3 linked regions of the Alligator mississippiensis genome follow. The protein of the gene in region 1 interacts with the protein of each later gene in a pairwise test. Links are inferred from orthologs where the notes say so. Each region holds a gene or a part of one and is shown in the gene's direction. Other genes may lie near its edges. The genes, in order: NDUFAF3, NDUFAF4 and SNRPA.

Region 1 (9,929 bases):
CTGCTCCCCAATACCAAGTTCGGCCTACCCCTGCTCCAGGGAGCCCTGGACCCCTGTGCCCTGGGGAAGGCCCTGCAATGTCATCCCGTCCGCAGAGACCCTGGGCGCTTGGCTGGGGGCACCGTGCTGCTGTCCTTGGGCATGAGGCAGCCTCGTGGCTCTCACCTGGCTGCGGTGGGCTGTGCTCAACATCTCAAAGCGGATGGCTGCGGAGGTCAGGACCCTGCTGACCTCGGTCCAGGACTCGTCTGTGCGGAGGAGGGGGGCAGAGTAGGGACGCTGCAGGTACTGACCTCTGCCTCCCCTCGCACCGCCTGCTCCTGCATGTGCCAGGCAGGGCCCCGGGGTGCTAGCAGCTCCTCTCCCCCAGTGGCGGGCGACACGTTACCATGGGCGAGGTCTCCGTACTTCATCACCGAGGCTTTGTGCAGCTGGCGCTGGCGCAGCCTGGGGAGATGAGTGCAGGTGAGAGCCCAGGCAGCCCCGTGGCTGCGACCGCCGAGCCTGGCCCTGCTGGCAGAGCCAACAGCAGCACCCGTGGCCTGGCCGAGGCAGCGACCGCAGCGCTGGGTGCCGCCCCTGGCAGAGTGCAACAGCAGGCAGCACCGGGGAGCGACTGGTGACCCCCACTTACTGGTAGTACTGCGAGGCCCCTTCAGGGAGTGAAGCGCTTGTAGCCTTCACTGGCCCGCACACGAGGTGTTTCTGAAAGAGAGAGAAGAGATCAGCCTGGGCTGGGGACAGCCGAGCCCCTGCCCCCTCGCCGGGGAGCACAGCAGGTCGAGCTCCCCCCACTGCCCTCGGGTGGGCACGAGGCCAACGCTGCCCCTCACCTGTGCGGCAGAGAGCGCCCCAGGCTCCAGCATCCTCCAGAGCAAGTCGGCCTTCTGCTGCTGCAGCTCCTCCTCGCCGCTCACCACGTGCAGCACGGTGCAGGCGCTCCCCGGGGCCTCGGCCTGCGCACAGCGCGAGGGCAGCAGGGGCTGCTTCGCGTGTGCTCCGAGCCCCGCGACCCCCGCGCGCTGCCCAGGCCGCGGCAGCACAGCTACTCACCAGGCTGCGCTGGGCCGCGCGCTCCACCTCTGCCAGCGCTCGCAGCTCCTCCTCGGTCACTGCGGGGAGGGAAGAGCTCTGCAAGGGGCCCTCTCTCTCCATCTGCCCCGCCCCACAGGCTTCTGCCTTGGCGTCCTGCCTCCGTGCGGCGGGGCAGAAAGCGCCAATCCAGCCGCACGCTGCCGCTGGGCAAGGAAGCACGCCCTGCCGCCGCCCCGTGCCCGCCACCAGCAACGCTACCCCGGAGGACGTCCAGGCTGGGGTCGTAGCCCTGCAGGCCCCGCTGCTCCAGGAAGCTCCTCAGGCGCACCACAAACAGCGTCCCGTCGGCCCCTGGGCCCGGCTCCCTCGCCGTGGCGTGCGGGCACTGGCTGAGCGCTCGTTTCCAGGCTGCCACAGCCTCCGGGGGGGACGGCGCTTCGGGCGCCCAGGGCCAGTCCACCCCCAGCTGGCCCAGGAGCTCGCGGACGCTGTCCTCAGGGGCAGCCGGGACCAGGCGCACGTTCGCCCTGCGAGACCAATGCGTGAGCACGGGGGCCAGGCCTGAGCGCCCCCCCAAGCCGGGCAGCGCCCCACTGACCCGCATGCCCGGAGCACCGCAGCCAGGTGGTCGGTCAGCAGGACGGCGCGCAGCTGGGCCAGGCCGAGCGGCGCGGGGCGGCGGCGCTGCAGGGCGGCGCAGTGCAGGACCACGCGCGGCGACACCGCAGCGGCAGGCGGCGGCGGCCGGGCGTAGGTGTCGGCGGAGGCCAGGACGTGGCGGAAGACGGCAGTGCGGTGCAGCTGCACGGCCAGCCCCGCCACGCCCTGCTGGCAGCTCCGCACCGGCGGCACCGCCGCGCCCCGCAGTGCCTGCACTGCCTCCACCGCCGCCCCGGGCACCTGCGGGGACAGCGCCGTGAGCCCCGGCCCGGCCCTCGTGCCGCGCTGGGCACGTGCCGGGCTGCGCAGGCCCCGCCCCTTCGCCCAGGCCCCGCCCCCGACCTGGCCGCCGGGGAAGAGCGTGCGCAGCGCGCCGCGCGGCGCCAGGAAGTCGCGGCTGCGCAGGTTGCGGGCGCTGGTCTCCTTAAACCAGAGCCCGGGGCCCGCGTCCCGCCGCAGCGCCGCGTTCAGCGCCGCCAGCGTGTCCGCCACGGCCAGCCGGGCCTCGCCCGTCTCCATGACTGCCGGGCCGCCGCCGACCCCGGAACCCCGGGCCGGAGCCGCGGCGTGACAACGGACGAACGGCCACTTCCGGCGCGCGGCAGTGAGGTCACGGCGCGGAAGGGCGAGCTGCGGCGGGCATCTTGGATGTGGCTCAGCGCGCGGCGGGCAGCCATCTTGGACGCGGGTAAGCGGCCATCTTGGGCCAAGCAAGGGGCGGCGGCGGCCATGTTGGGTGTGGCGCGGTGGGGGCGGGGCAGAGGCCATGTTGGGCGTGGCAACAGTGGCGCCTTCCCCGGGCTGTGGGCGAGGCCCGCGTGGTGCGCCGCGACCCCGGCTCGGCTCCCCCGGGGCAGCGCGGGGCTGGGAGTGGAGGGGGGGCTCCACGTGCCCAGGACCGAGCTGAGAGCCACGGCTGTTCACACCACACCGCGGTGTCACATCTGCCCCCTCGCAGCGTCACTGCGGATGTGGCGCTCCCCCGCAGCGCTGCCCCAAGCACGCCCAGGCTGTGGTGCGGCACCAGGCCAGGCCAGGCCCAGGCGGCATCGGGCAGGCTCGTCACGCGCTCGGCGCTACACCCGGGGATTTCCGGGCTGGGCCCGCGCAGCCGCCTTGGGTCTAGATCCTCGCAGAGAAGCCGTTGGAAACAAAAGCAGAAGGAACTTGCTGGCATCTCTGCCCGCAGCAAACAGCGACCACAGCAGTCAGGAGCAGGCAGGGAGGAGCTTTATTGTGCATCGGCAGCCCCTTACAGCACCCGTTTCACTGAGGCTCCTGCTGCCTGGGGCCGAGGCGGGGCCCGGGAGCTGGGAGGCGCGGGGGGAGCCGGGCCCGTGGTCCCGAGTCGGGCTCCGGGTTGGGAAGGACGGGGCTGTGCGCTGGCGAAAGAGGAACAAGGCGAGGGAGCGGCTCCTCTTTCCTCTACCGCCGAGGCACGTGCGTCTGCAAACGGGAACCTGCTGGGGCAAGCACCCCCCACACCCGCGCGTGCATGCACACCCGCACCCACAGCTGCCCCTTGCCCTGAGTTCAAGGTGGCTGCCAAGGCCTCCAGGCCCCCTTCCCTGCTGGAGCCTGTGGCAAAGGTGCGGCGCTCTCTGCACCACCCACAGCCAAGAGGTGATCTGAGAATGCTGCTCACGCCAGACCAACTGCTGACTGTCTGCAGTGGCAGGAAGAGGCCCGGGCACCCCGGCTGCCAGCCGCAGCCTCGCCGACTGGATGGCCGGTGGCTGCAGCAGACCCGTGTCCACACATCCCCCACTGCCGCAGCATGGTGGCGGGCAGCGATGCGTGGGGCTGTAGTGTAGGGCAGGCGCCGGCGTCGTTACACCAGGCGGGGGGGCAGCAGCACGTCCCAGCAGCCAGGCGGGCGCATCCTGGGGCCATCTCCGTCCGCGGCAGGGGCTGTTGCAGGCCGGGCCAGGCCACCCGTGGGCGCGCTCTGCTCCGGGTGGCGCCGAAAGAGCTTTGGACCGACACGATATTCCCGATGGCTGTCGGGCGTCTCGCTCAGCGGGAGTGATCGTGTCATTCCAAAGCAATCTCTCTCCAGAGGGCTGTCCCTCACCGGCTCCAGGGTCCGTCCCGGGCAGCCAGGGCCCTTCCCAGGCAGGCAGCCAGCCCAGTGTCTGTCCCCCACCCCGCGCCGCGCTTGGAGCTGCAGGAAGCACGAGTGCATCGCGTGATCCCGCCACCCGCTCCGGCCTGCTGCAGGTGGCCACATCCACATTGTGGCCGGCAGCTTGCGGCAGCTGTTGCTGCTGTGGTGGTTTCTCCTCAGGAAGCCAGGGTCTATCTTTAGCTTGCAGGAGCACGAGACTGGTGAAGAGCCTGGGCTCAGCGGGCCCCCCTCTCCTCCTGGGGGCTCCTGTGGGGTGGGGGCTGGCCGGCATCTGGGCCCCGGCGAGGTGGCCCTGGGCGGGGGAGCACGGGCGGGAGAGCAGGGAACGAAATCCAAGCGCAGCTGAGGTGCCGAGCGGAAGACAGCTGCTTTTGGGATTCCGTTGCCCGCTGTCGCGCGTCGGGGCGCCCAGACGCCGGGGTGGAGCGGGCGAGTCCGTTCTCAGCGTGCGCGGGGCGGGCAGACAGGCAGAGCGAGGACACGGGGACGAGGACGATGACTTGCCAGAGCTGTCCCCACGGCACCCCGGGTAGGGGGGAGCTGGGGTCAGGGCTGCTCGGCCCCTGCAGCCGGGCTCCAGTCCTGTCCCGCGGGGCAGAGGGACGGGCCCGTGCGGAGCTGGTGCCAGGGGCACTGCCCTGCAACAAAGCCTGGCGCGGAGCCGGCCCGGGAGCAGCGCACCTGGTGCTGGGGCTGTGCCAGAAACCTGAGACCCAGCCCCACCCCTGGACTCCGCCGCTCTGCACCCCCGGGCGCGGGCTGCCCTCCCCCGCGCCAGGCTGGCCAGCCCCGCGCCCGGCCCCCCCTGCGAGGCCAGGCCAGGCCAGGCCAGGCAGGGAGGAAGCGCACTGGCTTGCCAGGGGATTTCCATGCCGGGCCTGTAGTCAGTGCCCGGGGGCTCCGTTGCCGGCAAGGCTGGAACTAGGCGCGTGCCCCGTCCCAGCCCCCGCCCAGCCCAGAGAAGGACCCCCGGGGCCTGCCCCCCGCGGCGGCGAGGCCCAGGGCAGCTCACCCGGGGGCGCCAGCACATGTGAGGACCTGGCCCGTGTCCACTGGGTGCTGGAGCCGGGGACCCCCCCCGCGTGCAGCTGCCCCCATCCCTGGCCAAGGGTGTCCTAGGGCCGCCTGCCCCTCCCTGCCCCCTGCACGGGGGCCCTGCGGGGCTGTGCGGTGCGCCGGGTGGGGGGGAGCGCGGGAAATGGGTGTCGGCGTCAGCGCAGGGCCCGGGCCGCTCGCCAACGCCCCGCTCCGCTGCTCCCGCCCCGCGGGCGTCGAGGGCTGGGCGAGGCCCTGGCACGGCTGGGCCCGGCGGGTGCTGCCCGGTGCTGGGACGGGGAGCCGGAGCGTCGAGGTCTGCCTGCGGGACCCTGGCCTCCTGCCAGCCCGCGGGCCCCCACCCTGCCCCCGGCCCCGGCCCCGGCCCCGGCCCCGGCCCCGGCCCCGGCCCCGGCCCCGGCCCCTCACCTGTGGGCAGCAGGTGCCGCGTGTGCCGGCCCAGCCCGGCCCGGCCCGGCCCGGCCGCCTTTGCCCGCTGCTTTATGCGGGAGGGCGCAGCTCCCGCCGCCCGCGGCCAATCGCGCCCCGCCGCCGCCGCCGCCGCACTTTCACTTTTGCTCTCGCGGCGACGAGCCCCGCCCCGGGCTCCTCGGCTCCCTGCGGGCGGGGCGGGGCGGGGCGGGGCGGGGGTCGGGACCGGGCCTGGTGGCCCCGGGGCGGGGCAGGGCGGGCGGGGCCCCGGGGCGGAGCCGCTCGGGCCAGGCCGGACCCGGGGGCGGGGCGGGGCGTGGCGGGCGGCAGGTGCGTGGGGGGCGTGGCGGGTGTCGGGGCCAGGTGCGCGGGCGGGGCCGGGGGCGGGGCTGCTAGGGGACGCGGTCAGTTCCTCCCCGCCGCGCTGCTGTCATCACGGCGCTGTCGTCATCACATGGCGACCGCGATGGCGCTGCGCGCGCACGGGCTGTGGGGGCGGCTGTCGCCGCGCGTCGTGCTGGGCCGGTGGGTGCGGGGGTGCCGCGGGGGGGGGAGCGGGGTGCCCCCCCCGGCGCCCGCCGTGACCGCCTGTCCCCCTAGGGCGCCCTGCCGCGCGCACGGGCTGATCCAGACGGACGACGAGCGCCTGTCCCGCACCTTCGTGTCGATGCTGCAGCGCGAGGCGGGCGGGCGGCCGCTGCTCGAGGGCTGCTCGGCGCACGGCTTCACAATGGCCGGGGCGCGCCTGGTCGGGCCCTGCATGCTGCTGCCCGCCACGCTGCTCACCTGGAACGTGAGTGGGGCGGGGCGGGGCTGCGGGAGGGGGCGGGGTCAGTGGGGGTGCTCGGGCGCGGTCCCTCACTGCCGTCTCGCAGGTGGGGTCGCACCGGGACATCACGTCCGAGAGCCTCCTGCTCTTCCGCCTGCTGATGCCGCGCATCCGTGAGTGCCCTGGCGCGGCGCGCGCGGCCCCCCGGGCTCCCCTCTGCCCCTTGCTGCTTCAGGCACAGGTCGGCCTGGAGCGACGGCCCCTCCCGGCCCCGGGCGAGCTGCCGCAGCTGGCAGCCCCGGTGAGCGAGCAGTGCTGCCGCAGGGAGGGGGGCAGGGCCGGCTGCAGGCCGCACTCCCTCGCTCGCTCGCTGTGGCCCCCCAGCACCCACCATCGGTGCCCTGGGGCAGGGGTGTTGCACACGCTGCCCGCGTGCTGGATCTGGCCCAGAACCTCTGTCCGGCCTCCTGGGCGCAGCCTGCTGCGGAGCGCGGCCCCACTGGCCACGGACCATCGCTGCGTTGCCAGAGCCCTCGCTGCTGCGCTGGCCGGGCTGGCACCCCGTGCCCTGGGCTGCATCCTGCCCGTGAGCGCCCCGCAGCCTGGGTCTGAGCTGAGGCCCCGGGTGAGGGCGACACCCTCGGCTGGGAGACGCCCGCAGGGACAGCCCGGCCGTTCTGTCTCGGAGCTCCTCGTGCAGCCATCGGTCACCGCTGGTCTGGTCCCTCGTTGACCCTGCCTGTGCTGCCTGCCTTCACGCCTCCCACGGGCTGGACTTCATAGGATCCGAGAGAGCCGGGGTGGAAGGGACCGTGGGATCACGTCTAGTCCAGCCCCTGCTCCAAGCAGGACCAGCCCCAACTACATCATCCCAGCCGAGGCTTGGTCTGCCTGTGTCTTAAAGACCTCCGAGGATGGAGACTGCACCACCGCTCTGGGGAGCCTGGTCCAGTGCCATACTACGCTCCTCATGAGAGAGTTTTTCCTCACATCCAACCTCAACCTCCCTTGCTGCAGCCGGAGCCCGTTGCTCCTTGTCCTGTCATCTGCCCCCACTGAGACCAGCCCAGCACCATCCTCTTTGCAGCCCCCTGCAGGGAGGTGACAGCTGCTATTCAATCCCTCTCAGGCTCCTCTTGTGCAGACCAAATCAGCCGAGTTCCCTCGGCCTCTCCTTGCCAGTCCTGTCCCCGAGCTCCCTAACCATCTTCGCTCCCCTCCGCTGGACTCTCTCCAATGTGTCCACGTCCGTTCTGCGGTGGGGGGCCCGCAGCTGGACACAGGGCTCCAGACGTGGCCTCGCCAGTGCCAAACAGAGGGGAAGAATCACTTCTCTCGATGTGTTAGCAGCGCTCCTCGCAGTGCAGCCCAGGATGTCGCTAACCATCTTGCCCCGGGGGCGCGGGGCTGGACTCGGTGATCTTCAGAGGTCCCTTCCAGCCCTAACGTCTATGAAGCTTTCTTGGCTTTTCTGCAGAGCTGCTGCCTCGCCTGTCAGCCCCCAGCCTGCACCGGTGCGTGGCATTGTTCTGTCCTGAGTGCAGGACTTTACACTTGTCCTTGCTGAGTGCCAGGAGATCTCTTTTGGCCCGCTCCTCCCAATTTGTCCAGCTCTGAATCCTAGCCCTGCCTTCCAGCATATCTACTACACCCCCAGCTTAGTGTCATCTGCAAACTTCCTAAGGGTTCACTCTGTTATCTTCTAGGTCATTAATGAAGATATTAAGTAAAACCCGCCCCAGGACCAACCCCTGCAGCACTCCACTTGATACTGGCTGCCAACTAGACATTAGACCATTGATTACTCCCCATTGAGCTCAACACTGCGGTCAGCTTCCTGTCCGCCATAGTCGTCATCCAGCTTGTACTTCCTCAGCTTGCTTGCGAAAATGCTGTGGGAGACCATATCAAGAGCCTTGCTAAAATCAAGGTACCCCCCCCATCCACCAGTCTCCCCGCATCCACAGAGCCAGTCACCTCATCATAGAAGGCAATCAGGTGGGTCAGGCATGACTTGCTCTTGGTGTAATTCCCTGGATCCTCTTTCTTTCATAAAAATGGGCACTATGTTTGTCCTCTTCCTTTCAACTGGGACCTCCCCCAAATGCCAGGAGTCTTCACAGTTGATGGCCAGTGGCTGTGCAAGTACATCAGCCCGCTCTCTCAGCACTCGGGTGCATCCCATCCAGCCCCATGGACACGTCCAGCTTTTCTAGGTAGTCCCTAACCTGATCTTTCAGCACTGAGGGCTGCTCACCTCCTCCCCGGACTGCTGCCCAGTGCAGTATAGGGCCTGACCTTCCCAGTGAAGACGGGCAAAAAGGCATTGAGCACGTCAGCCTTTTCTGCATCCCATCACCAGGCTGCCTCCCCCATTCAGGAAGGGACCTGCACTTTTCCTGATCCTCCTCTTGCTACCGACATACTTGTAGAAACCCTTCTTTTACCCTTCACGTCCCTTGCTAGCTGCAGCTCCAGTTGCACCTTGGCCTTCCTGGCTTCATCTCTGCATGCCCGAGCAACGCTCTTATCCTCCTCCCTAGTTGTTTGTCCAAGTTTCCACTTCTTATAAGCTTCCTTTTTGAGATTTAGTTTACTGAAGTTTCCTGCTAAGCCGAGCTGAATTCTGCTTTTCTGCAGTCCAGGGACCTTACTCTGCTGCTCTCCGTCCTTCCTTTCCTCAGGATCCTGCACTCAGTCATCTGGGGGTCGCTGCTGCCCAAGTTCCTATCCACTACTACGTCCCCCACCACGTTGTCTCTGTTTGTGAGCAGCAGGTCAAGGAGAGCAGGGCCCCTACTTGGCTTCTTCAGCACTTGCACCAGGACGTTTTCTCCAGCACCCCAGACAGTTTGTGGATTGCCTGCGCACTGCCATGTTGCCCTCCCACAAGTCCTTCCCCTCATTAAGGCTAAAGCTGTCCCCTGCCCATGGCAGCAGGTGCCCCTAGTTCCAGTCTTCTGGGATGTGGCGAACAGCAGCTCCCTGTTCACTTGGTCCACACCCTGTATGGTTTATAGGCCTCCATCAAGACTCTACCACCTTTTCTGGAGAGGCAGAGACCAGATGTGCGCACAGGTGTCGAGACGTGGGCGCCCCAGGCTCTGCACAGCAGCACGATTTGGCCTCCCTTTTGTTTTCGGTTCCCTTCCCAACGGCGCAGGGCGCATTAGTGGCTTTTTTGGCAGCTGCTGCATGTGGAGCCGCCGTTCTCAGAGCTCTGCACTGAGGTCAGTGACCAAGTCATAAGAGTGGGTTCGGCGCTCGGCACTGCCTCCGTGCCCGAGTTGTTTCTCCTGCGCGGCACCTTGAGCTGGCCAGCACTGAGGTTCCTCTGCTGTTTTGTTTTGCCCAGTTGCTGGCCTTGATGCTTTCTGCAGCTCCTCTCCCTTGGCCTCAACCTCAGCCCTTGGTAATGCGGGCGGGCCCAGCACAGAGCCCTGCAGGACCCCACTGCTGACCTCTCTCTCCTGAGAGGAGATGTGTTAAGCCAACCCCACCCCACCCTGCCTCCCGGCCTGTCGCCGGCGCTAACTGGCTTCTTTCATGCAGAAATCCTGGTGCTGGGCACAGGTGACCGGATGGAGCTGGTGGACCCTGCCGTCCTGAGGGAGATGCGGCAGCAGGGCATTGCGGTGGAGGTGCAGGACACGGTACGGGGGTACAGGAGCGCTGCGCAGCCCTGGCTGGTGGGGCGCGCACCCACCCCTGTGCAGGCAGCTGCGTCCCCTCAGGGCTGAGGTGGCCACTGCACTGCGGCAGCGGGAAGGCCTGATGCTCCCTGCCGGGGGAGGCCTCGCAAGCCAGGGAGCTGCAAGCTGGGAGCAGGGCACCCCCCTGACCCCTCTCTCCCCTCTCATAGCTCAACGC
Region 2 (9,810 bases), on another chromosome or scaffold:
CCTTGAAGGGAGTAGGGGGGCCTCACAGCCTGCCTACACGGCCTGAGCCCAGCAGGTAGTAGAGGTTCTCACGCACCTCCCAGCATGCCATGCTACCAAAGACTCCTGAGCAGAGCTGAATGGCCAAGCCACCCCTGATTGACTGGTGGGGACATCATGGCCACCCACCTAGATCTGATGCAACAGCAGCTTGTCATTGCCATGAGTCATCAATTGACTGTCCTGAGTATGCCCACCCAGTGCATGCTGTGCCTGCCAAGTGTGTGTGTGGGTGTGTGTGCACCATCCTCCCCCACAACACACAAAACCCAGGCATTCTGGGCACACACACACACACCCCAGGCATCTGGGGAACAACTGGGCCACTGAGTTTCATGCAGCTGATGAGGACAATGCTTGCCTCTTGCACAACTCCATTCCCTGGGGTGATGGGGCATGGGCACTATGCTCCAGGGATCGCTGATTTTGTCATTGAAGAAGTCATCACCCCCCCAAACCTCTTAAGGGGCCTGGCCTACCCCTCCTGCCCTGGCTCATGAGGCTCCATGGGGGACAGCTGGACCACTGGAAGAACTTCAATTATGGACCAGGTCTGGCATCATGACCACACATGGTGCAAGCACTGGGGAGAGGGCAAGCCTGCTACTGATGTGCGTGGCTGCAGCCCCACACCGCGGCAGGCTGTCTACATCCTTGAAGACGTAGCTGACTTCCTCCTCACCCATGCGGACCAGAAGCCCTCCCTGGATGAGTAGGGCCAGAGGGCTTTGAGTACCCACACCCTGACACTGGGCCATGGGTCGCCTTCTATGGGCTCCTTTGGCCCTGCATCAGGGGCACCACTGATCACAACCCTGGCTATCCAGGCACCATTCTTCTTCCCCTCTCCCTCCTCAACTTCCCAGAGGGGCACAAACCAGGGCTGAGGGGTAATGTAGGCAGAGGGAAAGACTTGCCTCATTTTAATCAAGTTTTGAAGCTGTCAAACTTTTAGTGTGTTTATTAAACAAAAACTGCAATGTGGCCTGCTCCAGAACTTGGAACCATCTTCTCAGTTAGCATTTAGAGACTGGGGAAAGACAATGGCTATACTGGGCAGTTATGATGTTGAGTGGGGGAAGGGAGTGGGCAGCCATGGGGGCTCAACTTAAACATGAGACCTTGGGGTGGCAGGAAGAATGCCTCACGTGAAACTGCCTCCCTTGGTTTAATTAAATTGCATAGCTGCCAAACATCATGTGTGCATAATAAATAACAATTGTGGACATGAGCCCAGGGGGCTGTCTATCCCCGCAGAGGCTACGCCACTCCCCCACAGTGGGACCTGGGCAGAGGGACTGGGGGACCCTGGAGCAGATCTGGCACATGGGAGCCCCTGACTTGTGGTCCAAGGAGTGTTCCTGGCTTCTTGGACCACAGGTCAGGGGCTCTCATGCACCAGATTTCCTGTTCTGGGGCTCTCCTGCCCCCCAGCATCTCCTAATTCAATGCACAGTGTAAAGCGTTCCTCCACAGCTGCCACCCAGGGACCCCCTCCATTGGCCTCTGTGGCATGTTGCCCCACAGAGGAGTCACCAGAGCAGAGCTCTCCATGCTGGGGTGGGAGGGATGGGTAGCAGCTTGCTCTACCACTCCTGCCCAGGAGGGCAACAGTCTCCCTGTGGGAGGCAGCGCTGACACCACTCAAAGGTATCCTGGCTGGATCCTAGGAGGTCTTTGACCCTATGCATAAACTCCTTATCCTGGTGCTACAACTCTCTCAACTCCATAGCAGCAAGAGTGACCTCCCTTAGACAGTGGGTGGCCATCTTGAGACCCCCATTCTTGGACCTTTGCAGCACATTCCTGAGACGGATGGCTCATTCAAGTGCCATGGCAGTGTAGGTGCAAGCAATCACCAACCTGTCTAATCCAACTGCCCACATTGAGTGGGCAGTTGGTCCTCCTTTGGTCCTCATTTCACTGGCACCCTCTACGCACATGCTTCTGCTGACTATCCTGGATCTAGCATCTTGGGCTCCACGACAGGGCTTACCGTGCCCAGTTTCCAGACAAAGAAGACACTAAGATACCTGTCTGGTGAGTCCCCTTGTCTGGACCCCTTCTCCTGCCTGGGGCTGGAAGCCAGACAGCTGCTCACAACCTGGCACTGACCACGTGCTGGAACACCTGCATTCCACCTCCCAGCTGGGAAAACCTGGATGCCTGGGTTTTATTTCCCTGCTGTGGGAACTGGGAACTGAAGCATTTGGGCCCAGAGGAATGAGCCTTTTCCAGTTTTCTGAGATGAAAATGAAGGGGGGAGGGTCTGATTGGAGAATTCCCATTTCCTGCTGCATCTTACCTGTCATGGTGCTTATAAGTAGGTGTTCTGCTGAACAGTGCCTGGACACACACTAGCAAAAACCTACAGTTGCAACTGTTAGTTACACCTCAGCTGTGTGGCTCAGAAGAAAGTTTTCAGTGTCTTTCAGAGTCTTTTTGGGTGCCATTTTGCGCAAAGTGGTTCTGCATCAATGCACTGGCCTCTCTCAGGCAAGCAACGTGACCTTGAGCGATGGGGTGGCCAGTTGACAGTTAACCAGATTTATGGTCATTCAACATAATGCAGACAGATAAACTCCCAACAACAGTATGGGGTCCTGGCCACTGTCATGGAGTTGTGAGGGCAAGGTGTTCAAGAGGCCAGAGATCCATGGGGGATTATCAATAAATCAGGATCATCTGTCTTCCATATGGACAATCAGTTTTCCACACTGAGTCAAGAGCAACTTACCAAGAAATCACATTAGACTATACCATCACCTATACACATCTCATTCAGAAGTTCTGGAGTAAAGTTTCTGCACAGGTAGCTGTCTTCAGACATTTAACTAGCAAACATAGCACAACAACTTCAAAGTGCTCAGAACCACTGCATTTGCAATGGTATACACCCCAGCAGATTACTGTGCTCCTGTATGGTCCAGACGTTGTTGCACTAAAAAGCTCAGCACTGTACTTAACAGTGCACTGAGACTCAAAACAGGCTACACAGCGTACACACACACATATATTCCCTGTACTCCAGGGCATTAGACCAAGTGACATAAGAAGACAGATCCTAACCACTCCCCTGCTACCAGGTTTTTGGGCCCACAGAGAGTCCAGCAGGCCAGGTATTGTAGCCTTGTGTATTGCACTAAATTTAGATAAGGGGTGGGGTGAATGGAAATTAAATGATCATTCAGAGTAATCTAGTCTGAAATGTATTCCTACAGAATTTTATACCAACACCAAATGAGTTCCCCATTGGGCACAACTTTGACAGAGAAGCATGGGTCAAGCTAAAGAGACAGATAGGGCTGTGCTGGATAGGGATGCTTCTTAACAGCACAGTATTAGATGAACATCTTGGAGAGCCCCCTATGTGAATGTGGTGTCCACAATCAGCACAGCACTTAATCAAAAGCAGCACTCCTTACAAATGTACTGACGGGCAGATGGAATTCGCATCCACATCCATCCAGAGTTATTTTAGATAGGGATCCACCATTTTTACAGGCTCTGTGTGACCTATCTGTTTGGTCATGGCTGTACAGTGCTTTCTGTGCTCCTACCACATAGTAAGTGTAAATTCTGTGCCTCCTTTGTGGGCTGTTTTCTGGCTTTGTGGCTTCAGCTGGGGATGCAAGGCTGCCTAGCTCCACGTTCCCTGGTCAAGGGCTCTTTGGACTTCTAAACTACTAGCTTCTTGAGAGATTACTGCTTGCCTCCTGCTCCTGGTAGATCCTAAGAACTACATCATGCTGACAACATGGGTCACACAGCCATCATAGCTCCTTTTCTATATAAGTTGAGCCTGCCACCATTAAGGACTAGATGACCTTGCACAGCACGCATAAGAGTCACATGGCTTGGCCAGTGTCACACGGACATATTGTTCCAATTATACATCAATCCCACATAAAGGTAGAGGAGGATTTTTATTGTTCTTTTGGAAGGAAAAAAAAAGCCTTCCTTGTAATTGGAACAACACAGTAATAAATGTCACAACTTTAGACTGGCTCCACTATTTCGCATCATACACAATGTCATAAATTTAGGAGCAATCTAAAATGTAATAAAAATAAAAGGTAAACTTAATGAATTATACACTGAATGGCAGGGCTGGATTAACCCTTTAGTGGGCCCTAGGCAAACAACCTTGTGGGCCTCTATTTTTCTCACTCAATAATTATAATATGTAAAATAAGCACTACCGGGCCCCTTCTTCACTTAGGGCCCTAGGCATGTGCCTAGTTTCCCTATGCATTTCTATGGCCCTGCTATATGGCCTTCTTCCACATACTATCAGGACCACTCGCTATAAAAAGATTCAATTAGAATATTAACCAGAATTTGGCTAGATTCTGGTTTCAGGTTCAAATAGATGTATCTATTGCATTGACATTTCCACTGATCTGGATTATTTAGATGTTTATGTTAATGAGTCTTTTTGACCTATATTTTTATAATCTGTGCAGGGTCATGGACACCCTTAAGTTTAAAAAAAAATACTTACAATTCAGCTGTAAAACAGCAATTCTTATACCATGCCGTGGTTAGTTTTAAAATGCTGAAAAAATACGGGATTCATACAGTAATGACTGAAATTCTACAAAATGAAAACCCTAGATTAGCCTGCCATCTTGAGGACATTTCTATCTTTACCCCAACAGAGATGGTCATAGATGTGGTCTGATTCTTCTGTAGTTTTCCCTCGGGAGCACACCCACTCTCCTTGCACTGAGGCTTCCAGCACCCACCTGGTCCCCACTCAGAAGGGAGGGGGATGCTGAATGCCTAGGGTTTTTTCATTGTGAGTTTTAGTGGTCAGTGAATCTTTAAAAAGATAAAGTTTGAACCCTAATGCACCCACATAAAAAGCTGTATTGACCTAGAAGCGATAACTTATGTGTAGGTTTGCAGACATAAAGAAAGATGTTTTTGCCTAGGAGCAACAACAAAGATCCGGTTACACAAACACACACCCGGCAAACACACTAATAATTCTTTAGCAACAATAATGGATCGATCTGTCATTGCTGTTGGGGTAGAACATTTTCCTTTTATTTATTTATTTTCCAAAATTAATTGCAACTCTGTAGACCTCCATGCTTCCAGAGTACTCTCAGGAGATCTAAAAAGTAGCAGTTTTGTCTGTTGGGCCATATAATAGTACCCAAGATGGTAAGTCAGAGGAGAGAGGGAAAAAAAGGGCCAGTTGTGATACTGTGATAAAGAAAGTTTGGGAGGTTTGGGAAGCACTCCGATTCTTCCTCCCTTTTCATAGAAAGCATAGAAAAGCAGGGCTGGAAGGGCTCTCTAGACTAGGTCATCTAATCCAACCCCCTGCCTGAGGCTGAATCATGGTTGCCTTTAGCTGCCTCGTTTCTCCTGCAACTGAGTAAAATATTGCTACTCACCCTGCGACCCTTTATATGTACTGCACAACTGACTGGCCAATCGCGCAATCAGTTGAGACTGGCCACATGCACAAAGTAATGATCACACTGTAACAATGTCCAGCGAGCTCTAAAAAGAGCCGACCAGCTACAACGTCCGTGCCCGACAGTGTGTACTAACTGCAGAGCTGGCTTCTAGCCATTTTTTAATTTGAACATGCCTCTGCGGAACAGATGCTTAAGAGGGGACATGAATACTTGAAGGGCTACCATAAATAAGAGGGAAAGCACCTTTTCACTCTCGCTGCAGAGGAGGACGCGGACCAGTGGCCTGAAGTTGCAGCAACGTAAGTGTAGATGTTCCCCTGCTTTGCCCGGGCAGGCTGCTGTCAGGTCTGTGGTGTGACGGGGCGGCTGGCAGCCCCGGGCGGAGGTGGGGCAGACCTCATGGCTAGAGCACAGACGGGGCTGGGCCCCGCGACCCCTGGCGGGCCCGGCCCGGCCCAGCCTCTCGGTAACCCGGGAGCCCAGCAGCAGCCGCCCCTCTCTCCGCCCCTCCCTCACCCTTGTCTGCCCCCGCCCCGCCCCGCGCTCCTCCAGCCGCTAAGCGGCGTCCTCTGCCGCCGCCACCACCCGCCTGCGCATGCGCGGCGACACTGGGCGGTGAGCGCGGCCATGCGGATCATATGGGACCATTTGGTCCGCGCTTTCCGCAACTTCAACGTGGAGAACCGCGCGTTCCGCGTCCTCGACCGGCCCAAGCCCACCCCCGCGCCGCAGTACCCCACGGCCCGGCCCGCCAAGCCGCCCGGTGAGTGTCGCGCGCGCGTCATGCCGGGAGCTGCTGTTCCTGGGCCCATGCAGGGCGGTCCCGGCACGGGTCCTGGCGAGCAGCGGGAGGTGTGGCAGGTTGCACCGGGGCCCGGGGCTGGTTTGCGTTGGGCCCTTTGGTCACAGACCCACATGTACAGAAAGCGCGGGTCGGACAGAGGTCATCGCGTGCAGGGATCTCCACTTCTTTTGGGACCAGGCCCCGTTTGTAAATATAGATGGCCAATGCCCCTCGCTCCCGACCTGCTGCCCCCCAGTGTGTGGCACAGGAGGGCCCCCAAGCTGCCCCTCGGAGGCTGGGGCAGTGCTAGGCTGCAAGGGAAAAGCTGCGGGTTCCCCTGTTTTTCTCCTTTACGGGAGAGTCCATTTTTCATGTTGGTTCCCCGCCCTTTAGTATATTCTTGTGACCCACAGGTTGAGAAGCTCTGGTCTAGTCCAACCCCGTGCTCAAGGCAGGACCTGCCCCAATTAGATCGTCCCAGACAGGGCTTTGTCTGGCCGGGTCTTAAAAACCTCCAGGGATGGAGGCTCCACCACCTCTCTGGGAAACCTGTTCCAGTGCTTCAGTGTGATCCTTTGCACGCACTGGAGCTTGGGGATGTTGCAGCGGTTGCAGCAACCAGCCTTTTTTTTCCCTCTGAGAAACATGCAGGGGCACCTCACCTTCCCATATATTCAAACTGGTGATGGGTGGGGATTGGCTATTATTAAATGCAAGCCAAGGAGAGTATATGGTATGTGTTTTCTCTCTCTCCTTTTTACTATCTAGAAATCCAACATGAAATCCAGAAAAAAGACAACAGGCTTCTTGCCTTATTAAAAAATGTCTATGTCGATTCCAAGGATCCACCCATGGAAGTGAGTCTCTTTCCGCAGCGAGTGCACAGCAGTATCCGTTCTTCACGTGGCCAAACTATAAGGATATCCATAACTGGGGGGGGGGGGGGAGTTGGTGCAACTTGTTGCCTTAGTGCCCAGAAGCTAACTGTTTTAAAAAAATAGGTATTGATGGTTGATTTGTTTCAGATGCAGTCCCCACTTTAACAAAGGCAGAGTTTTGGCCAGCAAGGTCTTATGTCTATATATTTTATTCTGCTTGATATAATCCCAAATTTGGGGTCCAGTGCAATTTGTTAAGGGTACTTTCAGTCTGTATTGATGCCCTGGTTTGCCTCGTCTTCCACACAGGTGTCTTCATCTACCCTGTTACTTTTAGAATGGACTAAAACAAGATGGTTTTGCTGTGTGAGGTTAAGTATTCTCTGTAAATGATTCACCCTTCAGTGAATGGCTGAAGCCTCAATATGCTTTAAAATTTAGCTCAGATAAAAGCTGATGCTTGATGACTTGAGTTAACCAGTGGCTGTGGGCTTGCAAGAAGTTCTCTTGGTCTTGGGACATAAAGGCTACTTTCCTCCCCTTCCCTCCCAGCCCCCAGTGTGGAGCAGGGAGCTTGATAGCTGATTTTGAAACAAACTTGGAAAGGGAAGTATGAAGAGATGCTAAGAACATTTTGAGAAATTCACAGAACAAAACTAGAAGGTATAAAACTGCACCAAAGCTTCAAATGAAAAAAAACCAAACAAACCAAACTGGACCAGAGGAAAAGGAAAGTTGTAAAATGTATAGGAGGTGGTTTGGGTGGGTAGGTGTGGATTGTTTTTTACAACCTAAGAAACTGTTTCCAGAAAAAGTCATCCTTTCTTCTCCCATTTATATTCTTTTTAAGTTCTACTAGAAGATGAAGAGTAGAAAGTATCTGCTCTGATGCAAACATAGGCAAATGATGTCAAGTTAAATATGTAGGACAGCATTTTCACATGTCATTACTTGACATTAAGCATCTACAGTCAGGTTGAAATATAGAAATCTGTAGCTTTTTACTTCCCCTCCAAAGATGTTGATGGCTGAGAACTTTCACTGAAGTTTGCAGGAGTTTTGCCTGTGCTTGGGTTTTCAGAAAGTGGGTCACTGGGTGCTAGATATTTGGTCGTTCATAGATTCATAGATGCCAGGGTTGGAAGGGACCTCAACAGATCATCAAGTCTGACCCTCTGCCTGCGCAGGAAAGAGTGCTGGGGTCTGATGACCCCAGCCAGATGCCTTTCCAACCTGCTTTTAAAAACCCCCAGGGTAGAGGAGAGCATCACTTCCCTTGGAAGCTCATTCCAAATTTTGGTCACCCTTACCGTGAAGAAGTTTTTCCTGATGTGTAGCCTAAATCTGCTCTTCGTCAGTTTGTGACCATTGTTCCTTGTTACTCCAAGAGGCATCTCTGATACCTTGTTGCACCCCACCTAATGAATTTGTAGGCAGCCACAAGATCACCTCTCAGTCTTCTCTTGCGAAGGCTGGAGAGGTCCAGGTCCCTTAGTCTGTCCTCATAGGGCTTGGCCTGTAAACCCTTAACCATACTAGTCGCCCTCCTCTGGACCCTCTCCAGGCTATCCACATCCTTCTTAAAGTACGGCGCCCAAAACTGGATGCAGTACTCCAACTGCATTCTGACCGATGCCTCATAGAGGGGAGAATCTATCACCCTCTTGGTTCTATTTGTCATGTTATCTGCTGATACATGATAAAGTGCAGTTAGCTTTGCTGATGATTTCATTGTATACTATAGTTGCTGGGAACTTTTGTACTTGGAAAATAAAGCATTTTTAGGAGAGTGTGGAACAGTCCATGAGCATTCATTTCTTAGGACTAGTAAACAGGAGAGGGGTGTCCCTTTCCTGTCCCTCCCTCCCCTTTAAAAGGCAAAGTTATTGTTAAAGAAATAGGTAGGGCTTGTACAATTTACAAAATAAATGCATCCTACTGATTTGAACTCTTTTCTTTTCTTACTATTCCAGGTAAAAGTTGAAGGTGAAGGTCTCCCATGTAAAGAGGAGGAATACAGACTTACAAAACTAGGTCGTTATAGTGCTCTAGATATTCACCGCGTTCCCAAAGGCAAAATTTCTACTGTGGAGCTTTTGACTTTTCTTAATAATCATAGACTGCATCCTGAAACATGGACTGCAGAGAAAATAGCAGAGGAATATAGTTTGGACCTGAAGGATGTCACTTCTCTTCTAAAATACCTTGCTGTTTTTAATATGGAAATTCCTTCATCTGAAGATAAAAAATATATCAAATCTACGTAAAAATGGTTGCCAGAACTTGTTTAATTTCTCTGGTGTTTTCATTTTAATCTTAAAATGTATCATTTGTCCTGGAATTTGTTGAAATGTAACAATAAGTTATTTTATTTAAATGACTCCTACATTTATTTGGGCAAGCACATTAATTATATTTTGGCTCATAATCTACTTTACTCGTGTTAGATTAGGAGGCAGTTGAAATCTGCAAGAAACGTGGCAATATGTTAGGATTAATAAATGACCTATTCAAATTAATCCAATTCTGGGGGAAAGATTTAGTTAAAAAGAAATTGCTACTTCCTTGTGAGAGAATGTTTTTCATTTGATGACTTTGGATGTTAGTTGAATCAATGATATATTAACTTACTGTGAAAGTTTATTCTTGTTTTTATTGTTATTTATGTAACATA
Region 3 (9,988 bases), on another chromosome or scaffold:
GGGGTTGGCACGGAGGCCCGCCCGCTCCTCCAGGCTAGTGCAGGCAGCGCCAAGCTCATGGGACTGGGAGGGGGCAATGCACCATAAAAAAATGGCTGCCGATGTCCATGCCACCCAGCTGCTCTGCAAGAGAGGACCCTCGGTACGGGATGGATGCCATCAGAGGCTTTTGGGAGGCACCGGGACAAGGCCTGGGTGGGCTCCAGGCTTTGAGCAAGGCCATGGAGAAGCTAACAAGGGTCCAGAGGCGGCAACAAAGATGCCCATGGGCTCAGAAAGTGCAGCCCAGGCGGGGAGGAGCGGAGCAGAGCAGCAGGTGGCACTGGGCTGGTTCAGACGGCGGAAAAGGCGCTGGAGGGGCCCTGGGAGCGGGCTGCAGGGATCCGAAGGGCAGTTGCAGCAAGGAGGGCAAGCGCCTGCGCTCCCCAGGGCAGAGAGGAGGACACGGAGCCATGGCTGGAAGAGGCAGCAAAATGAATTGATTTTGGAGATCATAGAAAATTCAGTTTGAGGGGCCCTTAGGTCACATCTATTCCAACCCCCTGCTCTTGCCCTCCGCTGGACTCTCTCCAACGTATCCACACCCTTTCTGTCGTGGGGAGCCCACAGCTGGACAAGGGACTCCAGATGTGGCCTCCCCAGTGCCCCATAGAGGGGAAGAATCACTGCCCTCAATCTGCTGGCAACGTTCCTACCGATGCAGCCCAGGATGCCGCAACAAGGGCACACTGCTGGCTCATATCCCTCTTATTGCCCACTGTCAGCCCCAGGTCCTTTTCTGCAGAGCTGCTGCCCAGCCCGTCACCCCCAGCCTGTCCCGGTGCATGGGACTGCTCTGTCCTAAACGCAGCACTTTGCACTTGTCCTTAATTGAACCTCAGTCATGAGATTCCTTTTGGTCGTCAAAGCCTCTGGATCCCAGCCCTGCCCTCCAGCGCATCTGCTACTCCCCCCAGCGCGGTGTCATCCGCGAAGGTGCTGAGTGTGCACTCACCCTGCTTTCCAGCCGAGGCTGATGTCATTTTCCTGGACTTTAGGAAGGCCTTTGACACAGTTTCGCACCCTGTCCTCGTTGGGAAGCTAGCAGACTGTGGAGTGGACGCCTACACGGTCAGGTGGGTGGCCAACTGGCTTAGGGACCGCACCAGAGTGGTGGTGGATGGTTTCTTCTCGGCCTGGAGGGAGGTGGGCAGTGGGGTCCCGCAGGGTTCGGTCCTCCAACAGATATTATCCAATATCTTCATCAGCGATTTGGACAAGGGCATGGAGAGCACCCTCTCCAAGTTCGCTGATGATACCAAGTTATGGGGCAAAGTTAGTACACAGGAGGGCAGGGAGCAGATTCAGGCTGACCTGGACAGGTTGGATCAATGGGCAGAGAGAAATAGGATGCAATTTAATAAAGATAAATATAAGGTACTCCACCTGGGAAGGAGGAACCCCCAGCACACCTATAGGTTGGGGAGTGTCCTTCTCAGTAGCTCGGAGGCAGAGAGGGATCTTGGAGTCATAATTGACTCCAAGATGAACATGAGCCGGCAGTGTAACGAGGCCATCAACAAGGCCAGTCACATCTTGAAGTGCATTAGCAGCTGCATGACTAATAGATCAAAGGAGGCGATGCTCCCCCTCTATGCGGCACTGGCCAGGCCGCAGTTGGAGTAGTGTGTCCAGCTCTGGGCGCCGCACTTCAAGAGAGATGCAGGGAATCTGGAGAGGGTCCAGAGGAGGCCACTCGCATGATGAGTGGCCTTCGTGATAGACCCTACGGGGGGAGGTTGAAAGACCTGATTCTCTTCAGCCTTCACAAGAGATGGCTGAGGGGACATCTTGTGGCCGCCTATAAATTTATTAGGGGAGGTCAACGGGGAATAGGGGAAGTGCTGTTTACTAGGGTGCCCCAGGGAGTGACTAGGAATAACAGGTGTAAACTAGTTGAGAGGGGATTTAGGTTAGATATTAGGAAGAAATTTTTCACAGTAAGGGTGGCCAGGATCTGAAATGGGCTCCCAAGAGAGGTGGTGCTTTCACCTAGCTTGGAGGTCTTCAAGAGGAGGATAGATAGTCACCTGGCTGGGGTCGTCTGACCTCGGTCCTCTTTCCTGCCAGGGGCAGGGGCTCAGACACGATGATCCATTTGGTCCCTTCTGACTCGACAATCTATGAATCTATGACACTGAACACAACTGCCTCCGGTCCCTCCACCTGATACAGAAACACTTCCTCCAGGGCAGAGCAGGGGTCCGCAGGGTGGACACCAGGCATCGGTGGGGGGACGCCCCGTCCATGTGTCAGGGGGGTTTTAAGCCCCCCCAGAGGTGCTACCTGCAGCTCAGGCTGGGGATGAGGACCGGACTATGCCAATGCAATCTGCAGGGTCCCGCACCTGTGCTCAGGCTCAGCCCCACATTGCACTGGGGCAGATGCTCAGCCTGGCACAGTCCCCTCTGTAGCGGGGGTGCAGCCTCGGCCTGGGGGCTCTTCAGCAATTACTGACAGGTCACAGCAGCACGACGTTGGCGGCTGCAGCCCCGCTGCTTTTCCTGCAGCAAACTCTGGCGTCAGATCCACTGTGTCAGGATCAACAGTATTTGATACACGCTGGATTAGTCCTGGCCGGTTTGCACAGGGCCGATCCTTCCTCCGGCCAGAGGCTAGACTGGATGCGACCTCTGAAGCTCCCTTCCATCCCCACGGCTGTAGGATTCAGCGATGCAGACAGGGCTTTAAATCAATACCCGATAACCACAACTCAAGGATAGGAACAGCCTCTAAAGGGCCAAGCAGGAGGAGCGGGCAAGTCACGAAAGGGAGAAAACAGCTAGGAAAGGAAGAGCGCTCGACCGAATGAAGCCGTGGTGTGACCCTGGACCGTGAGAGCCGTGGGCAAGGCAGAAGGTAAGTAGTGCGTTTATTAGGATAAACGGGGTGCCAGCAGTCCCTGGGTCTACCGCGGCTCGTGGACGGGTCTTGAGCTGACTTCTGAGCCCAATCCTGGAGCCGCAGATCTGGCCGCAGGTCTTTCTGCAGCAGAGCAGGTGTAGGCTGGCATTCCTCTCCCTCCCCGGGGAAGCACGGGCCGGTCCCCAGGTGCCCTTCCCTGCCTGGCGGGGCAGCGTGCCTCCTGCCTCAGAGCACCGGATAAAGGAGGCCGGGATCCCTCCTCACCTCCTGGAGCTCAAGGTGGGGAACCCAGGCGTCCCCTTGGCCCTGTCCGGGGCTGGGCACGTCCCTGCTGACCTGGCGTCAGGGCCTGGGGTGCAGCAGCACGGCCTGGCCGCACAGCCCCTCCTGCAGGCCGCCCGCGGGCACGATGTAGACCTTGCCGTCGCCCGCCCGCCGGGGGCTGAAGTCCGTCAGCTGAGCGTTGCTCTCCTGCAGCTGCCCGTAGCCCCACAGCTGGTAGCGCCAGCTCTTGCCTTGCTTGGCCAGCAGGTAGGTCTCCTCCACGCCCGCCGGCAGGGGCCCCGGCCCCCGGGGGTGGAAGAGCCCCGGGATCTCCTCGTCCTCGCGGCAGGGCGGGCTTGGCGCATCGGGCCTCAGACCCAGAAGGGCTCCTGCGGGCACAGCGGCTGTCAGCCCAGCTCCGCTCCTGGAAGCAGCAGGATGTGGCCCTTTGGCCCCAAAGGGGTGGTGGGCTGTTGCCCCCCCTGGGCCGCAGTCTGAAACAGATTTCCACCCCCCAAGGCTTTGAGCACTCCCGCACCTAAGAGCCCCGCTACGCCCTGGGGTGAGGACCAGCCCGTGGCAATTGCCGGACACGGCTCCCAGACCCCTGGCACAGTTCACCAGCCCCGTGGCACCCAGGCCAGGCAGGACCGTACCCGAAACGACAGCCCAGTGGGCTTTGTATCCGCGCCGGCGGCAGGGCTCGTGGTTAGAGTCCTCGTCGTAGCTGGGCGCTCGTCAAGGCTGCAGCGGGGGGCCTGAGGGGATGCCCACGCCGTCGCCACCCCTCCCAGAGCCACCTCCGCAGCCCGGGGGCATTGAGCGAGGCTGAGGGAGACCTGGAGGTGGTGGAGGGAGAGCCACGATGCCCCCCCCATTACCCCTCCAAAGACACAGCGGACACATCACCCCCCCCCCCCCCCCGGCGGGACCCAGACGCCGCCTGCCACGGCTGCGTGGGCCCATCCCGGCTGGAGGGCCACGTGGGAGAAGGATACGGCACCAGCACGGGGCAGCCAGCAGCAAGGTGGCAAAGGATCCTGTCCCGGTTGGCTCCCTCCAAGCCTCCCGTGAGCAGCTCCGCCCGGCACGGGAACACCTCTGCCGCCAGCTTCGCCATGTCCGCCGCTGGGGGAGGAGGCGGACGTGTCTCAGACCCTGCTCCAGGCTCCGTCACCCCTTCCCCGGAGCCGGGGCATCTCCGACGCCAACCCGGGGCAGGCAGGGGCTGACCTGAGAACATCTCCCCCTGCGCCGTGTAGCCTCTGTCCAGCGCCGCCTGCACGATGCGCTCCAGCGAGACGCTCCGGGGCAGGCGGAGGAGGGCGCCCGCCATCCACAGCGCCACCAGCCCGCACCTGCGGGCACGGGGCCGGGGTCGAGGGGGGTCCCAGGGCTGAGGGGGGCATTCCCCCAGCCCCACGGCTGCACCCTGGGCCCCTGTGCCATCTCGGCTGTCCTGGGCCCCTGTGGGGTCTCGGCTGCCGCGGCTGCGGTACTCACTGGGGCCCCTCCTGGATCAAGGACGGCACGGGGCGGTGGTACAGCAGCCACTTCCGCCGCCCGCTGAAGCTGGAAGAGAGACGCCCGCCGCACTCAGCGCCCCGTGCAGGGAGACGTCTCGGGGGGCAAGGGGGCTACCCCCCCCGCCCCGAGACCCCCCACCACCACACTGTGGCGACCCCGACCTGGCGCGCCGGTGCCCCAGCAGCTCCCGCACGTCATCCCCGGTGCCGGGCGGGGGGGCCGCACGCTCCAGGGCCGCCTTCAGGAAGTGGGCCTTGGCGCCCCCCGATGGGGGCAGGGGAGGCAGGGATGGGGGTGGGGGAGGACGAGGGGGAGGGGGTGGGGCAGGAGGGGGCAACCCCACCCCGCCCTTATGGGCCATGGGCAGGGGGAAGGGGGGGCAAAGGGAGATTGGCCAGAGGTCAGAGGGCAAAGGGCATGACCTCGCTGGGGGAGGGGGACGGGGTCGCGCTGCCCGCCCAAGATGGCGGCGCCCGTGGAGGGGGCCTCGCGGCGGTCATGTGCCCTCGCGCCGTGGAGCGCGGCCGGCCAATAGGAAGCGGCCGCGGCCTTGACTGACAGCCAGCTGCCGGCTCGGGGGCGGAGAGGAGCCCTCGGATTGGCCCGTTCGCTGAGGGAGGGAGGGACGGGGTGGGGACAGAGCGGATTGGCTGCCCGACGCCCCGCATCGATAGGCTCGTCAGGGGGAGGCTGCGGCCCTCCCATTGGTCCGCCCGCGCCGAGGGAGCGGGGCCAGTCTCCGCGCGCCCTTTCGCTGCGGCGGCCGCGCTGCGCCACGGGCCCGGCGGCGTCGGTGAGAGCGGGGGGGCCGCGGGACCCCCATCCGGGCTGCCCTCTCTTGGGGGGGCACTTCCGGGGAGGGGGGAGAGCCGAGAGCCCCCCCCCACAGGCCTCCCTTCTGGGGGAGCTCCCATTGCCACGGGGAGCCCTCCACTTCCGGTGGAGCCGCCTCCTGGGGGGAGGGGGCGTCTGGGCCAGGTGCCCCCCCTCCCCGGGGTGCCCCTGGGTCCGGGCTGCTGCGGGGCCTGCCCTTAAAGGGCCACGACCCCTTAGGAGGCAGGACCCCCTCCCCCCCAGCTGACCCCCGCGCTCCCCCCCCGCAGACCCCGCCGCCATGGCCGTGCAGGAAGCCCGCCCCAACCACACCATCTACATCAACAACCTCAACGAGAAGATCAAGAAGGACGGTGAGGGGCCCCAGGGATGGCACCGGGTGGGGGGGGGACGGGACACCCCCGCCGGGTCCATGCCTAACCCCCCCCACCACGTTTGCCTCCCCCAGAGCTGAAGAAGTCCCTGTACGCCATCTTCTCCCAGTTCGGGCAGATCCTGGACATCCTGGTGTCGCGCAGCCTCAAGATGAGGGGCCAGGCCTTCGTCATCTTCAAGGAGATCAGCAGCGCCACCAACGCCCTGCGCTCCATGCAGGGCTTCCCCTTCTACGACAAGCCCATGGTGAGCGCGGGGGCCCGCGGCCCGGGGGGGGGACCCAGGCGGTGTCGTCCCCCGCCCGCGCTGACCCGGCCTCTGCTCCCCAGAGGATCCAGTACGCCAAGACGGACTCGGACATCATCGCCAAGATGAAGGGCACCTACGTGGAGCGCGACCGCAAGCGGGAGAAGAGGAAGCCCAAGGGCCAGGAGACGCCGACGACCAAGAAGGCCATGCCGGGAGCGGCCGCCCCCGTGGCCAACGCCGTGCAGGGCGCCGTGCCGGTGAGTCAAGGCCTGGGGCGGCCCCCGCCGGGCCCTCTTGGCATCCAGGGGTGCTACGGCCGTGCCCGGCACGGGGACCTTGCGGCTAAGCCGCTGTCCTCTCCTCCGCCTGCAGGGGATGGCGATGAACCAGGCTCCCCGCATGATGCACCACATGCCAGGCCAGCCGCCCTACATGCCCCCGCCCGGCATGATCCCGCCGCCCGGCATGGCTCCCGGAGGCATGGCGCCCGGCGGCATGGCCCCTCAGCAGATGATGCCCGGCCAGATGCCTCCTGCCCAGCCGGTGAGTGCCGCGTGTGCCCGGGCTTCGGGCTCCCCTCGGTCTTGTCCAAACTCACCCGTGGCTCCGGATGGTGAAGCTTCCTTGTTGCAGGGGAGGGCGAAGGACCCTTCTCCCCAGGGGCGAGTGGAGTCGTGGCCTTGCTGTCGTGGCTGGGGCTGGGGGCAGCAGGACCTGGTGCTGAGCTCCTTGCTCTAATGCCACCTGGGCTGGGGCTATGGGGTGCCTAAGGGCTGCAGGTCCCTGTCCTGGAGAAGCCGGCCCTGCTGGAGCTTGGCTGGTGACGTCTTTGCCAGTCTTGATTCTCGTCTTGCGGGAGGACTTTATGCTGGCAAGTGCCTGTCCCTGCTGCGGGTCCTTGGACTTGGTGCTGCTTGCATCCGGCCGGCCAGGGGGATGCCAGCCCCCGCCCTCCCCGCTCCGACCGGCCCCTCTCCCCGCAGGTCTCAGAGAATCCACCCAACCACATCCTCTTCCTCACCAACCTGCCCGAGGAGACCAACGAGCTGATGCTCTCCATGCTCTTCAACCAGTGAGTCTAGGGGGAGAGGGGGGCTGGGGCGGGAAGCGACGGTGCCAGCAGCCGAGGCTGCCCCTCACTGCTCCCCCTTCCTCCCCTGCAAGGTTCCCCGGGTTCAAGGAAGTGCGGCTGGTGCCAGGGCGCCACGACATCGCCTTCGTGGAGTTCGATAACGAGGTGCAGGCCGGGGCCGCCCGCGACGCCCTCCAGGGCTTCAAGATCACCCAGAACAATGCCATGAAGATCTCCTTCGCCAAGAAGTGAGGCCATGGCCTCCCCGCGTCCCGGTCTTATCCCTCAGGGCTGCCCCCATTCCCCTTTCTCCCCATGTTGTTTGTACTGACTGTCAGGTAAGTGCTCCCAGGCTGGCCCATCCTGGCACCCAGAGCCTTATGCACCGTGCCTGACTCGCAGCAGCCCCTTGCTCCCAGCGGGTAAGTGCCCCGGATGCCCACCAGCAGCTGAGCCAGCCTTGGTAGAGCAAGGCAGCCCCTGGAGACCGGGACCGGGTGGGTGGGGGAGGGCAGGGAGACAGTTGATGGCCTCATGGAAAGCATTGTACCCAGGGTCTGGTGCTCAGACATTGCACCTGGAGCTTCCCGCTGTGTAATAAAGTTGTTTTGTTTTAGAGGTCGGTGGGTGCTGCCCCTTCCTTCACCCGGGTCCAGGTGCTGGGTGGGGGGCGCTTCGGGGTGCACTGCCCACTGGTCCTGCTGGGACACCCCAGTCTCCCTGCTGTTCCAGCAGCTGCTACCTGATCCCGGGATTTTGCGCCGTGGACTGGCTGGCCACGAGGGCATCTAACGGGGCTGGGAGCGCAGCCACTGCCAGCAATGGGGATGGGGACAGTCCGTCTATGGAGCCAGCCCCTGCAACACCTTATTCTTCAAGGGAAACATACAGAGCCCCCACCAGCCCCTTCTCTGTGCACTGCTGCCCTGAACTGGGGGCTCAAACATGCTGGGGGGAGCAAAGCATACACTCAGAAAATGAGGGTTGAAGGGACCCCAAGAGGTCACACCTGGTCCAGCCCCCTGCTGAAAGCAGGACCAGCCCCAACTGCATCATCCCACCTCTCTTCGCCAGCCTCATTTTCCTAGTATCCAACCTCAACTTCCCTTGCTGCAGCTTGAGCCCATTGCTCCTGTCATCTGCCCCCACTGAGACCAGTCCAGCTCCATCCTCTTTGCACCCCCCTGCAGGGAGGTGAAGGCTGCTAGTCGATCCCCCTCAGTCTTCTCTTCTGCAGACTGAATCAGCCCATTTCCCTCAGCCTCTCCTCACCAGTCCTGTCCCCCAGCCCTGCATTTTCATTGCTCTCTGCTGGACTCTCCAGTATGTCCACATCCTTTCTGTAGTGGGGGGGGCCAAAACGACACCGGACTCCAGATGTGGCCTCCCCAGTGCCGAATAGAGGGAAGACACTGCCCTCGACCTGCTGGCACTGCTCCTACCAATGCAGCCCAGGATCCCATTTGCCTTCTCGGCAACGAGGGCACACTGCTGGCTCCTGTTCAGCTTATTGCTTCCTGTCCCCGTCCCCCCCCCCGGGTCCTTTGCAGAGCAGCCAGTCGCCCCTGGCCTGTCCCGGTGCAGGGGATTGTGCCCGAAGCACAGGACTTTGCACTTGTCCTTGTTGAACCTCATGAGATTTATTTTGGCCCATTCCTTCAACGTGTTGAGGTCTCTAACTCATAGCCCTGCCCTCCAGAGCATGGTGGGGGGGCACAGCGGGTGGTTCTGTGTCCCTGCCTGCTTGTGGGGCTTCTCTGGGCTCCCCCCTCCCAGCCGGCTAGCCCAATAGGAGCCGAGCCTGGAGGAGGTCTTGCTTTTCCCCTCCTACCCCCAGCCCCTTTGCCGCTGGGAAGAGCAGACAAGGGCCCCACTGTGCTGGGGCTGCTCCGTGGCAGGGGCGGCTGCTGCTGTTCCCTGGGCCGGCCCCTGGCTCCGCATCTCTGCTCCAGCCCTCAGGTTCACGGCTCCTGCCCGGGCCAAAAGCAGAGTGGGAGGGAGACATTTCACAGAGGCTTCTTGAAGCTGCCCTGTCCTGGCATCCAGCCCCTTTCTCTGAGCTGGGCACCACCCGGCCTGGCTGCGCGGCTGGCTCTGGGCTGGAGCGTGGCAGCAGGGGCCCCAGCCTCCTTGAAGCCGACAGCACCTGGGGTTCATTCAGCACCCCTGAGTCCGGGGGGGTTTGAGCCCTCCGCCATTCCCCAGCTGGTCCCTGGTATGGGGGGCATCTCCCAGGGAAAAAAGGCCAAGGCCGGGGACGAGAACCGGAGCCGGACACCAGTACCCCCCTGCTCCACCCCCAGGCCGGGCAGTCGCTTCGAGCTCCACCATGGCCCTGGCCTGGGTCTTGCTGCTCGGTGCCCTGCTGGGGGCTGCCCATGGCGGCTGGCACATGGACAAGCTGGCGGAGCGCAAGCTCTGCGCGGACACCGACTGCAGCCGTGAGTGCCCGGGGTGGGGGCGTGGAGAAAGGGGACCAGGGCCGTGCCACCGGGGCAGGAGACTACCCGTGTCTCCCCATGGGGGGTTGTAGCCAGGCCAGGGCAACCCTGTCTGCTCTCCATCACCCCCACCAGACCCCATCTCCATTGCGGTGGCCGTGCAGGACTACGTGGCCCCCGACTGCCGCTTCCTCCACGTCCAGCGGGGCCAAATCCTCTACGTCTTCTCCAAGCTCAAGGGCCGCGGGCGTCTCTTCTGGGGTGGCAGTGTGAGTGTCGGGGCGCTGGGAGCCCCACTCGGGCTTTGCTAAGTGACCCAGAG

What was found.
Region 2: the proteins of NDUFAF3 (region 1) and NDUFAF4 interact in binary tests that used the Homo sapiens proteins (3 or more experiments, as listed by UniProt). The two-hybrid records come from large-scale screens. The link is inferred for Alligator mississippiensis from reciprocal best matches to the Homo sapiens genes NDUFAF3 and NDUFAF4.
Region 3: the proteins of NDUFAF3 (region 1) and SNRPA interact in binary tests that used the Homo sapiens proteins (3 or more experiments, as listed by UniProt). The two-hybrid records come from large-scale screens. The link is inferred for Alligator mississippiensis from reciprocal best matches to the Homo sapiens genes NDUFAF3 and SNRPA.

What each region holds. Positions count from the first base shown.
Region 1 is NC_081835.1:669,150-679,078, reverse strand, and holds the start of NDUFAF3 (NADH dehydrogenase [ubiquinone] 1 alpha subcomplex assembly factor 3), read left to right. Parts: upstream 1-5,708; 5' UTR 5,709-5,744; coding exon 5,745-5,815; intron 5,816-5,890; coding exon 5,891-6,083; intron 6,084-6,165; coding exon 6,166-6,232; intron 6,233-9,611; coding exon 9,612-9,712; intron 9,713-9,921; coding exon 9,922-9,929. Other genes in the region: DALRD3 (DALR anticodon-binding domain-containing protein 3), read right to left, coding at 166-248, 389-447, 635-705, 834-956, 1,054-1,112, 1,294-1,562, 1,634-1,935, 2,038-2,214. UniProt on the Homo sapiens protein: Essential factor for the assembly of mitochondrial NADH:ubiquinone oxidoreductase complex (complex I).
Region 2 is NC_081824.1:82,861,128-82,870,937, reverse strand, and holds the start of NDUFAF4 (NADH dehydrogenase [ubiquinone] 1 alpha subcomplex assembly factor 4), read left to right. Parts: upstream 1-6,057; 5' UTR 6,058-6,101; coding exon 6,102-6,237; intron 6,238-7,026; coding exon 7,027-7,115; intron 7,116-9,109; coding exon 9,110-9,403; 3' UTR 9,404-9,810. UniProt on the Homo sapiens protein: Involved in the assembly of mitochondrial NADH:ubiquinone oxidoreductase complex (complex I). May be involved in cell proliferation and survival of hormone-dependent tumor cells. May be a regulator of breast tumor cell invasion.
Region 3 is NC_081838.1:2,383,974-2,393,961, forward strand, and holds SNRPA (U1 small nuclear ribonucleoprotein A), read left to right. Parts: upstream 1-5,381; 5' UTR 5,382-5,488; intron 5,489-5,798; 5' UTR 5,799-5,809; coding exon 5,810-5,882; intron 5,883-5,977; coding exon 5,978-6,150; intron 6,151-6,233; coding exon 6,234-6,410; intron 6,411-6,525; coding exon 6,526-6,696; intron 6,697-7,136; coding exon 7,137-7,225; intron 7,226-7,317; coding exon 7,318-7,477; 3' UTR 7,478-7,843; downstream 7,844-9,988. Other genes in the region: ACTMAP (actin maturation protease), read right to left, coding at 3,247-3,557, 3,825-3,895, 4,167-4,296, 4,402-4,526, 4,672-4,740, 4,857-5,056; MIA (melanoma-derived growth regulatory protein), read left to right, coding at 9,555-9,666, 9,802-9,935. UniProt on the Homo sapiens protein: Component of the spliceosomal U1 snRNP, which is essential for recognition of the pre-mRNA 5' splice-site and the subsequent assembly of the spliceosome. U1 snRNP is the first snRNP to interact with pre-mRNA.